Oryzias latipes: one gene and its partner. The protein of the gene in region 2 interacts with the protein of the main gene of each other region in a biochemical or structural test. Links are inferred from orthologs where the notes say so. Each region holds a gene or a part of one and is shown on either strand. Other genes may lie near its edges.

What was found.
Region 1: the proteins of wee1 (region 2) and pin1 form a complex in vitro, tested with the Homo sapiens proteins (2 studies listed by BioGRID, with this or other methods). The link is inferred for Oryzias latipes from reciprocal best matches to the Homo sapiens genes WEE1 and PIN1.

The regions. Positions count from the first base shown.
Region 1 is NC_019859.2:22,494,011-22,498,550, forward strand, and holds the start of pin1 (peptidyl-prolyl cis-trans isomerase NIMA-interacting 1), read right to left. Parts: upstream 3,094-4,540; 5' UTR 3,063-3,093; coding exon of another isoform or gene 3,038-3,062; 5' UTR 2,993-3,037; coding exon 2,935-2,992; intron 2,053-2,934; coding exon 1,970-2,052; intron 1,080-1,969; coding exon 971-1,079; intron 890-970; coding exon 779-889; intron 1-778. Other genes in the region: ubl5 (ubiquitin-like protein 5), read left to right, coding at 3,038-3,062, 3,187-3,290, 3,590-3,651, 4,116-4,199, 4,297-4,334. UniProt on the Homo sapiens protein: Peptidyl-prolyl cis/trans isomerase (PPIase) that binds to and isomerizes specific phosphorylated Ser/Thr-Pro (pSer/Thr-Pro) motifs.
Region 2 is NC_019864.2:7,432,123-7,436,443, forward strand, and holds the start of wee1 (wee1-like protein kinase), read right to left. Parts: upstream 2,878-4,321; 5' UTR 2,418-2,877; coding exon 1,926-2,417; intron 1,644-1,925; coding exon 1,426-1,643; intron 1,173-1,425; coding exon 1,106-1,172; intron 1-1,105. Other genes in the region: znf143 (zinc finger protein 143), read right to left, coding at 4,285-4,321. UniProt on the Homo sapiens protein: Acts as a negative regulator of entry into mitosis (G2 to M transition) by protecting the nucleus from cytoplasmically activated cyclin B1-complexed CDK1 before the onset of mitosis by mediating phosphorylation of CDK1 on 'Tyr-15'.

The DNA of each region.
Region 1 (4,540 bases), on a different chromosome or scaffold from region 2:
ATGTTACTGTAAAAAAAAGTTTGCTGATTCTCTGAGTCACTTAACATCCTCTTAACACTTAACATACCTCATACATCAAATTGACCCAGGAACATCATCTCTGTTCCTCACAAATGAACATAACAGGAGGGTTAACAATGTATTTATTTCAATTTATTTCTAATATAAGTCGCTGCGGAGTATAAGTCGCACCCCTTGCCAAACTATGAAAAAAAGGGCGACTTATAGTCCGGAAAATACGGTAGACACATTGTTATGTTTAATAAACTTTACAGTTGTTAGTGCTACTAGTCATTATCTTTTTTTTTTAATCAGGTGGGTGATGAGGTTTGAGTTAAATGTAGATCATGAATGCAAACATGCAGACGTAAGCCAACTTAGACTAAATTGGGTATTTTAGGAAGACTAAAACTAAATTGCATGTTTTCTAATACGTATAATATAAGCATTATGTGTAATTTCTCTTCAGTTTGGCATTTGTGGGTTGATTCAACAGAAAAGACAACCCGTGCCAGAGTAAGTGATAAGAATTGTCCTGGCAAATGCAACAAAGCAATGTTGAGAGACCAACAAATAGACAGAGTAAAAAAGTTTATGAGGCTTTTGCTGGAGAGGAAACCTTATAAACAGAGTTAATTATTAAGCATTTTTTAACTAAAATTAGAAAGCATTTTTACTTAAAAAACTGTAAATATTAGGACAATACTACCTTATAACTACATAAAAGCTGAAGAACTAAAACTAAGAAAACCCAATATTCCCATTATGATGTTGGTACCTCTGGCAAACAGTCCCAGATCTCCACCGTTCTTAGCTGAGCTGCAGTCGCTGAACTGAGAGGCTAGAGATTCAAAAGACTCATGCCCAGATTTGATTTCGTCTATGTACTCTAGAAAACAGAACCAAAAAAAAGACAGATTAAGTAGAGATTTGAAACAGATCTGGTGTTTCTGTCCTCTGCCTTACTTACTCTGAATAAGCTCTATAGCCTCTTCTTTAGTTCGTGTTATATTTTGTTCCCTCCAGGAAGAAGGACGTCGAGACTGATTATGTTTTACTAGGAGGTGGGAGCATCGCACCTGAGAGAGAGAAAGGAGGAAACACAAAAAGATACACAATACATCATCACCTATTTGTTAGAAAGTGTTATAAAATGTTTCTGTGCAGGGGTGTAATGACTAATTGACCTGATCAATCAATCGATTTATATTCCTACGATCCAAGCAGAACAATCTGTCTGAGGCATTTGTTAATTGAATCGATCTATTACATTATAAAACTGTTTCAAATTAAAATAAATATATTATTTCCATATCGGGAAATACCATTTGGCTTAAGGGACGGTTTACTTTACTATAACATAATAACAACCAAGTGTTAGTTAGATTGAACCAATATTGACCATAAAATCGTACTGGAAACCACAAGTGATCATATGAATTAGACCTGCACAACAAAACGCAAATGTATCATTATCGCAATTTCAAGCTGTGCAATTCGCATATTGCAAAAGTCGTCAAAAATAGCAATAAATGTTTACTTTAAATGTGCTAAAACAAATATTGGAGTATTTAACGAATCAAATAAATTGACCAATCAGATGGGGCTCTTTTATTTATTTATTTTGAAGCTTTTCTTAGGTTAGACGTTCGCCTCCTATGTAGACGAGGGTCATTTGGAGTATAATTTAAGTTATGTTGACTCTTATTTAAATTAAACTGTTGCAGTAAAATGGAAATGATGTTTTTAGTCGTTTTGCTATTTGTTCATGAATGTTTTATCGTCGTCGCAATATTGATCACTAATATGGCGAGTTTTCCTCATATGGTGCAGCCCTAATATGAATGTCATTAAAACTAATCATTACCGGTACATCACTATCACAAGCTCTACAAATACTTCTTTAGTGAATTTATTATGATTTCAATCCTAAATGTATTGCTAATAAAACACACAAAATGAAGTCCACCTTATCTGGCTCTCCACGGCCATCTCCCACAGGACGTTCCCACTGGCTGGCATTAGTGATGTGGTTAAAGTAGTACACCTTGCCTACAAACAGCAAAGAAAGCAGTTTGATCAGCACCTTTGGAATGATCCAAGACATTAGAAGACACAAAAATCAAATTACAGTTTACATGACCTTACCCACTAAAACTGCAAAAGCACTCACAATTCCCCGTATCGGTATTATTGTTGTTTCATAGTAGTTGGTCATGAAGTTGCATGGTTTTGAATAAAACCAATGCATCAACTGCTGACAGTGTTCAATTTAGTTTATAGGTCTGCAAAAAGCTGTTCCTTTGCAATCCTTCCTTTTTACTCCATTGAAAAGAAACACACAAATAAAACAGAAAAAAAAACACCTAAAGTTTTTACAAGGCAATCATCTACCCAAACAGATTTTCTGTAAAAGAAGAAGAGAAATCAGATAAACAGACGTATCTGCAGAAATAAATCACATTTTGGGGGGGATCTGAAAGTTTAGTAGATTTCTCAAAGTTAAATAATTACCTATATATGAAAAAAATGTAAAGTGATCTTGTTTACAAAATATTCCCCAAATTGTCAGTTTTACTGTGCGTATATATTCACAAAATACTTTCAAGACATCAGGTCTAAGCTGCGTCTGCGCAAATTCCAGGTGACGTCATGCAACGGCGGCCCTGCAGAACATCTCCATTAGAAAAAAAAGTGGGGGAAAAGCTAGTTATAAAGCAAACCGTAGCATAACCGTATTTTCCCAGCGGCACTTTTCCTGATAGAAACCGTGTCGGTAACCCCGATGCATGCATTAGCAGGACAGCCTCACCTGAAACAAGTTCACAAAGCCTCGCTTACCACGATGCACGGGCTAGCTATAAGCTAAATCAACTTCTCGTGGGCTGCAGTTGAGCTCATACATTCAGCCTCCCCCGTCTTATGTATATTTACCTGAACTACGGCTCATTCTTTTCTCCCATCCCGACGGTAAATTCTCCTCGTCTGCCATGTTATCTGCTGCAACGTTATCAAGTTAGAATTCAACGTTCAAACGATGCGACACGGCTACGGCTCAGCAGGTACGACAGTCGGTTTACGGCAAAAGTTGTTTTCTGAGTTTGGCCCGCCCCCAAACGGCTTGTCCGTCCTACTATTGGTCTTCAACTCTTGTCAATCATATTTCTTACTATCTAATTGGTTAAGAGGACAATAACACGCGACATCGATTCTACGGTGATGAGCACCGAGAGCTTTCCAGAAGGTTTCAACTAGTGAAGAAAATCCATCAATCTTGGGCTACATTTAACGTATGTTTTACACTTTTTGATCTTTTTAACACGTCTGGCAACATTTTTGAAACCTTAAGTTGATCTTAATAGGCGCCATCTAATTTATGTTTTATATATTTAAAAGAGTTGTGTGCACAAGCTAACGGGTTAGCTAAAAAAATCATGGCTGGTCGAATTTCATCGTCAATTTAGTTTCTGCTGTTGACGCAAAATGAATTACACATTCTTTTGACTTAATGTTAGTGGTGTGAACGATTAATGTCGTTCCTGTTCATAACTCCAATATTTCAGCTTACTAGCTCCTCTTTTTTTCACAGTACACGATGATTGAGGTGATTTGCAACGATCGTCTTGGGAAGAAAGTCCGGGTCAAGTGCAAGTATCCTTCTGAACACATTTGATTTGCTGATCTGCTAAAGATGTTTTGGCTGTTAATACTGCACTGCAACATGCTGGTTCTGATTAGTTAAGGGGGGGGGGGGTTACTGTGCTATGGTCCATCCATAGCACAGTAACCGTGCTATGGATGGACCCTTTCCTTATGAACCCATTTGGGGTTCATTAGAATAACCATTTGGGCCTACATTAGAATAACCAGGTAACCTATGAATCATGTATTTTCGACTGTGGGAGGAAGCCGGAGTGCATGGGGTTTCTCTGCAACAAGCAAACTCCACACAGAAGGGTCCCAGCAGGGTTTGGAACCAGGGCCTTCCCCATTGCACCATCATGCAGCTCTATTTAAAATCTAAAGACTGAAAACATTCAGGACATGAAAGCTGGAAGTGTTTGTTTTGAAGGGTTTTCCACGTCACCAAATTGCTCCTCAACATCCTTGCACAGCTCAGAGGACACAATTGGAGACCTGAAGAAACTAATTGCAGCACAGACGGGAACAAGATATGACAAAATTGTACTAAAGAAATGGTAACTTTGCCTTCCTTTGCCTTTTTCTTCTTTGCATCACAATGAACATTGCCCTTTTTGGCTTCTTTACTTAGAAAATGTGTTCTTGTTTTAATAGGTACACCATCTTCAAGGATCACGTGTCTCTCGGTGACTGTATCCTTTTGACGCACTGACTTGACCTTTACTAAGCTGATGCAGAAAGGACCGATTTGCCCTCTAATTTCTTTAGTATTTGAAAACCTAAAAAGCAAGGTCTTAGGCTGGAGCCACACGTGGCTCTTATCACTCTAAATTCTGAAGTTTTGAATAAAATTGAAAAATATTTTTAAGCTTTGTCATTATGTTTGGATTTTTTAACT
Region 2 (4,321 bases):
GTAAACAGGCTTTGGATCATTTGCATTCAAATACACAATACAGATCCTTCTCCATTCTACACTTTCAACAGGAGGAAAGATTGAGCAATCAGCTGCAGGACTGCATTTGTGGAATTTGTAGGAGATATATCTGTAGACGGGCTTTAACAGAAAACACCCTTTCGAAAAATTCACCGCTGCCCCACCCAACAATCAGATAGAATTTTTTATTTAAAGATACTTGTATTTCCCAAATACCAAATGACTTTTATCCATGTTTATTCTAACCTGTGAATTGCAAATCCAAGTTCCTGTTTGGGTACATGGATTCCAGCAGCAGGAAAATTCCTGTTTATGCAATAGGCATACTAAAGAATGACTCGGTACTAGTATATTACGTAACATCCAATTTGACTGTGTTGTTACTTTCTTTAAGCATGATGTCATCAAATGGAAAAAGCCACATTGCAGTGGGATTTTTGCATGACGACTGCATCCTAAAAACTGTCAAATTACAACTCCACTGCGTTGTTTAGGTGAGAACGAGCTCATTAAGAATGACAGGTTCAAATTGAAGCAGCACGTGTCACACTCACCATCTAAACATGTTTCTGTGGTTTTGACTTACGTATAATATATAATCTCAACTCATTTTCACTAACAAACTGGCTTAATCCCAAACTATTCAACCAATTCTTAGCATAAAAAGGTTTGACTAAAAACAGGTGTAAAGAAAATGTGGGATTTTGGGGATTCAGCCATACTTTCCGTGTTTTGAATACTGTACTCTGATGTTTGCGATCCGTTCCCAAAAATAACAGTGAGGATATCTGTGACATCCAAGATTGCTGACTCGCAATCTTTATACATTTACTGGAGTTTAAAAAAAAAACTACTACTTAGGTCATGTAATAATCGCTCTACAATGTAAGAATAATGTTGAGTTTTACATATATAAACTAAACAAATTGAATGTTCTACCGTCATCGGAAGAGACAAATCTTCATAGTTAAGTTAATTCTCATTCATTACGTAAAAAGACACCCGCACAGCAGCCTTTCAGGCATCATTTAGATCAAACAATAAGAATGGTGGTTTGATGGTGATAAGGAAAATACTCCATCACCTTGGATGGTGGGAGGATCTCATCCACTCCTTCACTGTCGCTCGCCTCCATGTCTTCTCCGCAAGAGCTAAATGAAGGGACAAGTTAGCGTTGGTTAGCATTCTGCACAGCAGGGGCAGCACTGTGGCTTTAAGGTCTGCAGGCAAACACCAGGAGGGTTTGACTACCAGAAAAAACAAATGCTTCAATCTGTAAGCCATTTTGACAGTTGCTGGTATAGGAAAGAAGAATGAGTAAATATCCGCACTACAATAATATGTGTCAACAACCATAAAATATAGATTTGATCCATAAAAAATTAGCAGCAGGGAGAAACGTACTCGTTCCAGTGCGCTCTTTTTCTGTTGTTTCTTTGCTGTGTGGCAGACTGAATGAGCAGGGAGTCTGGGGTGAAGGGGTTAAAGTTCACCAGGGGAACCTGCTGTCTCCTCCTGGTGCTGTCTGTGGCTGACTTTCCAGGAGACTCCACCTTTTTGAACAGGGCGATTCTCCTGCTGGAGGACAGGGAGCCGGAGCCCCGAGCTCTGGAGAGCAAACTCTGTGGAGGAAAAAAGAGCTGTGTTATTCCAAAAAAAATAAGGTTTTTTTTTTATTTAAAATGAATGATACATAATCAATGTCCTGCAAAGACATGGACATGTTCAGTAATATATAGGATGATCTGATTACAGAAGGCATTGTGTAATAATTGGGTCACTGAGTTTAACTGACTCAGCACCGAGTATACATGGAGAACAGTAAAGTAAACAAAAGCAAAAGAAAAAAATATATTATTTTGCTGTACACTTTTGCATAATTATAGAATGTCCTCAGAACCGACCTTTGGTGTATGCGGTGTGTCAAAAAGTCTGAGTTTTCGGAAGGTTTTGTGTGGAGGGGTGTCCGGGCAGTCCGGGATGGGAGAGCTGGATCCTTCCCCGTCGTCCTGGACGAAGCTATGCTCCGGCGAGCCCCCGTACAACCTGGGGCTCTTCCTCGGCGATGGGCAGTTCGTGTAAATGACACTGTTCGGTGACTGCAGGTGCGACGACGGGGAGTCGAGGCTCTCTTCGTCCCACAGCTCCACGTCGTCGTCCCCTCCAGAGTGATTCAGGGGGCTGCTGTTGCTAGTTCCCCGCAGCTTGTCGGCGGCGGCGCCCCGTCGGACTGGCATGGGGGAATCCATGTCCGTGAAGCCGGACTCGCCCCCAATGCTGCTGTTAACATCCTCAATAGAATCCTCCTCTCCGTCGCTGGATGTGAACTGCAGTTTCTGGCGAATGTGGAGGCTCTTGGGAGGAGTTCCGAGACGTCTTCGAGTGCAAGTCGACATTTTCAGAGTTTAAACCCCTGCTTCGTCGACAACACGGGCAGCTAAATGCGCGACTAGTCCAAAAATGTGACGATAGCAGTGTTTTTCGCTCAATAAACCAATGTATAATTACCTTTAAACAAAGGTATCGGCTGAAAGGGAATCGAAAAACAACGTTTTAAAAGAAAAATCACCCTCATTGGGTGCTCGCGAATTCCGACACGCTAGTAAAAGATGGCCACGGATTAGCTTAAAGGCACTGCCGAAACAGTTTCTTAAACTAGCATCAACTTTAAAAAAAATAAAGCTACGTCTGAGTACCAGGCAAATATCGGTCTCCGTCCGTCTGGAGTCGATGACTCACTGACCCAGGAACCAGTCTGTCCCCGATAAAAACTTAGTAATGTTTACAAAAAGTTTGAATGAGTCAAGAACTAGGTTCTTCCCATCACGCGCGTGGCAAAGGACTTCCCGCGACCGTTGATCACATGTGACTGGGAAACCAATCAGGGATCGTCGTTGAATTTTGAAACATGGGCGTTCCTGGAGGATTACGTCATTGGTGGCCGTGCGACAATCTGGCGGGAACGTGCAACTTCCACATGTTGCCATAACTTTCTAGACTGGAAGCCATTTAATGTAATTATGAGACAATGGGTTCATTTTCAAAAGTTAACGAAAAGAGATCAAAACACTAGAAAAGTTAAAGACTGAATCCCCACATTATTCTATCAACTTAAAAGTATGTAAAAACTGGTCAGACAAATATGTTAGGGGATTCATTTTTAACAATTTGATTTATATCACAAGTTGTGGTTGCTGTTTTGATTTATAGTCTATACCGATTCGTTTTTAAAGATCAAATTTGATTCGATTAACTGATTGTTTAGTCAAAACTTCAACCAGAACCAGTGTAACAGAGATAAATACCTGGTACTGAACAGTGCAGGTGAAGTTTTCCACATTCCTTGCATTTCTTCCAAGATAATCAAGTGTAAATTAAATTGTGTCAAACAAACAAGTAAACTAGAATGAATTTCAAATCCATTCAATTTTTAGTTTCCTAAAGTTCAGCCTCTGTTGTTTCTCCACATCCAAATAATCCAAAGGGAACATCATTAGAACATTCTAGCACACTGTTTGGTCACATGACTTTGCTAAATTCAACGCGTTTCCACACATTGTAATGATGGAGCGATCCGTTTCTACTGACACGTGTGTTGTCCGTTGTGATAGTACTTGGTCTTTTTCTGTTATAGTAAAATAAATCTACCAAACCTCAATTCAAATGTTTTCCAATATTGATTATAATTAATTCATTTCATTTTGAAACAATTTTATAATAACAGGTTTATTTGATTAACTTGCGTCAGACAGATTGATCTGGTTAGATCATAGGAATATAAATAAATTTGATTAATCTTTACACCCCTAATATGTGCAGGAAGATTTTCTATGTTTTGAGTTTTTTTTAAGTTGATGCTTGAATTGTGGTATAGCTTCTGCAAAATTTGACACCTTTTGAGAGACTTTTAGTCCTAATTACAATTGTTCAAAGGTTTGCTACTATGAAAATCAAGCAACAATGACACAAAAAAGCTTTTATAAGTTTTTTAGGAAATAGCAAAACCTGTACACTGCATGTGCACTATAGACATAAAGCATTATTGTGTCTTTCCTTCTTTACATTTTCTGCATCAACTTAATTTTAAGGATCAGGAACAAAACAGCATGGCAAACTCCAGTTATCAAAAATCCTATGTACACGTAAAAGCTAAGTTAAACTGTGGAAAAAAATGAACAAGGAGGAAAACTGATGATTTTTTCTCAACACCGAAGTCCATTTCCCATGGTTTAGATTCTAAATAATTGTCCAATACAGAGTCCATCATTCATCCAGACCCGGTGACTCTCCTTGCTGTATT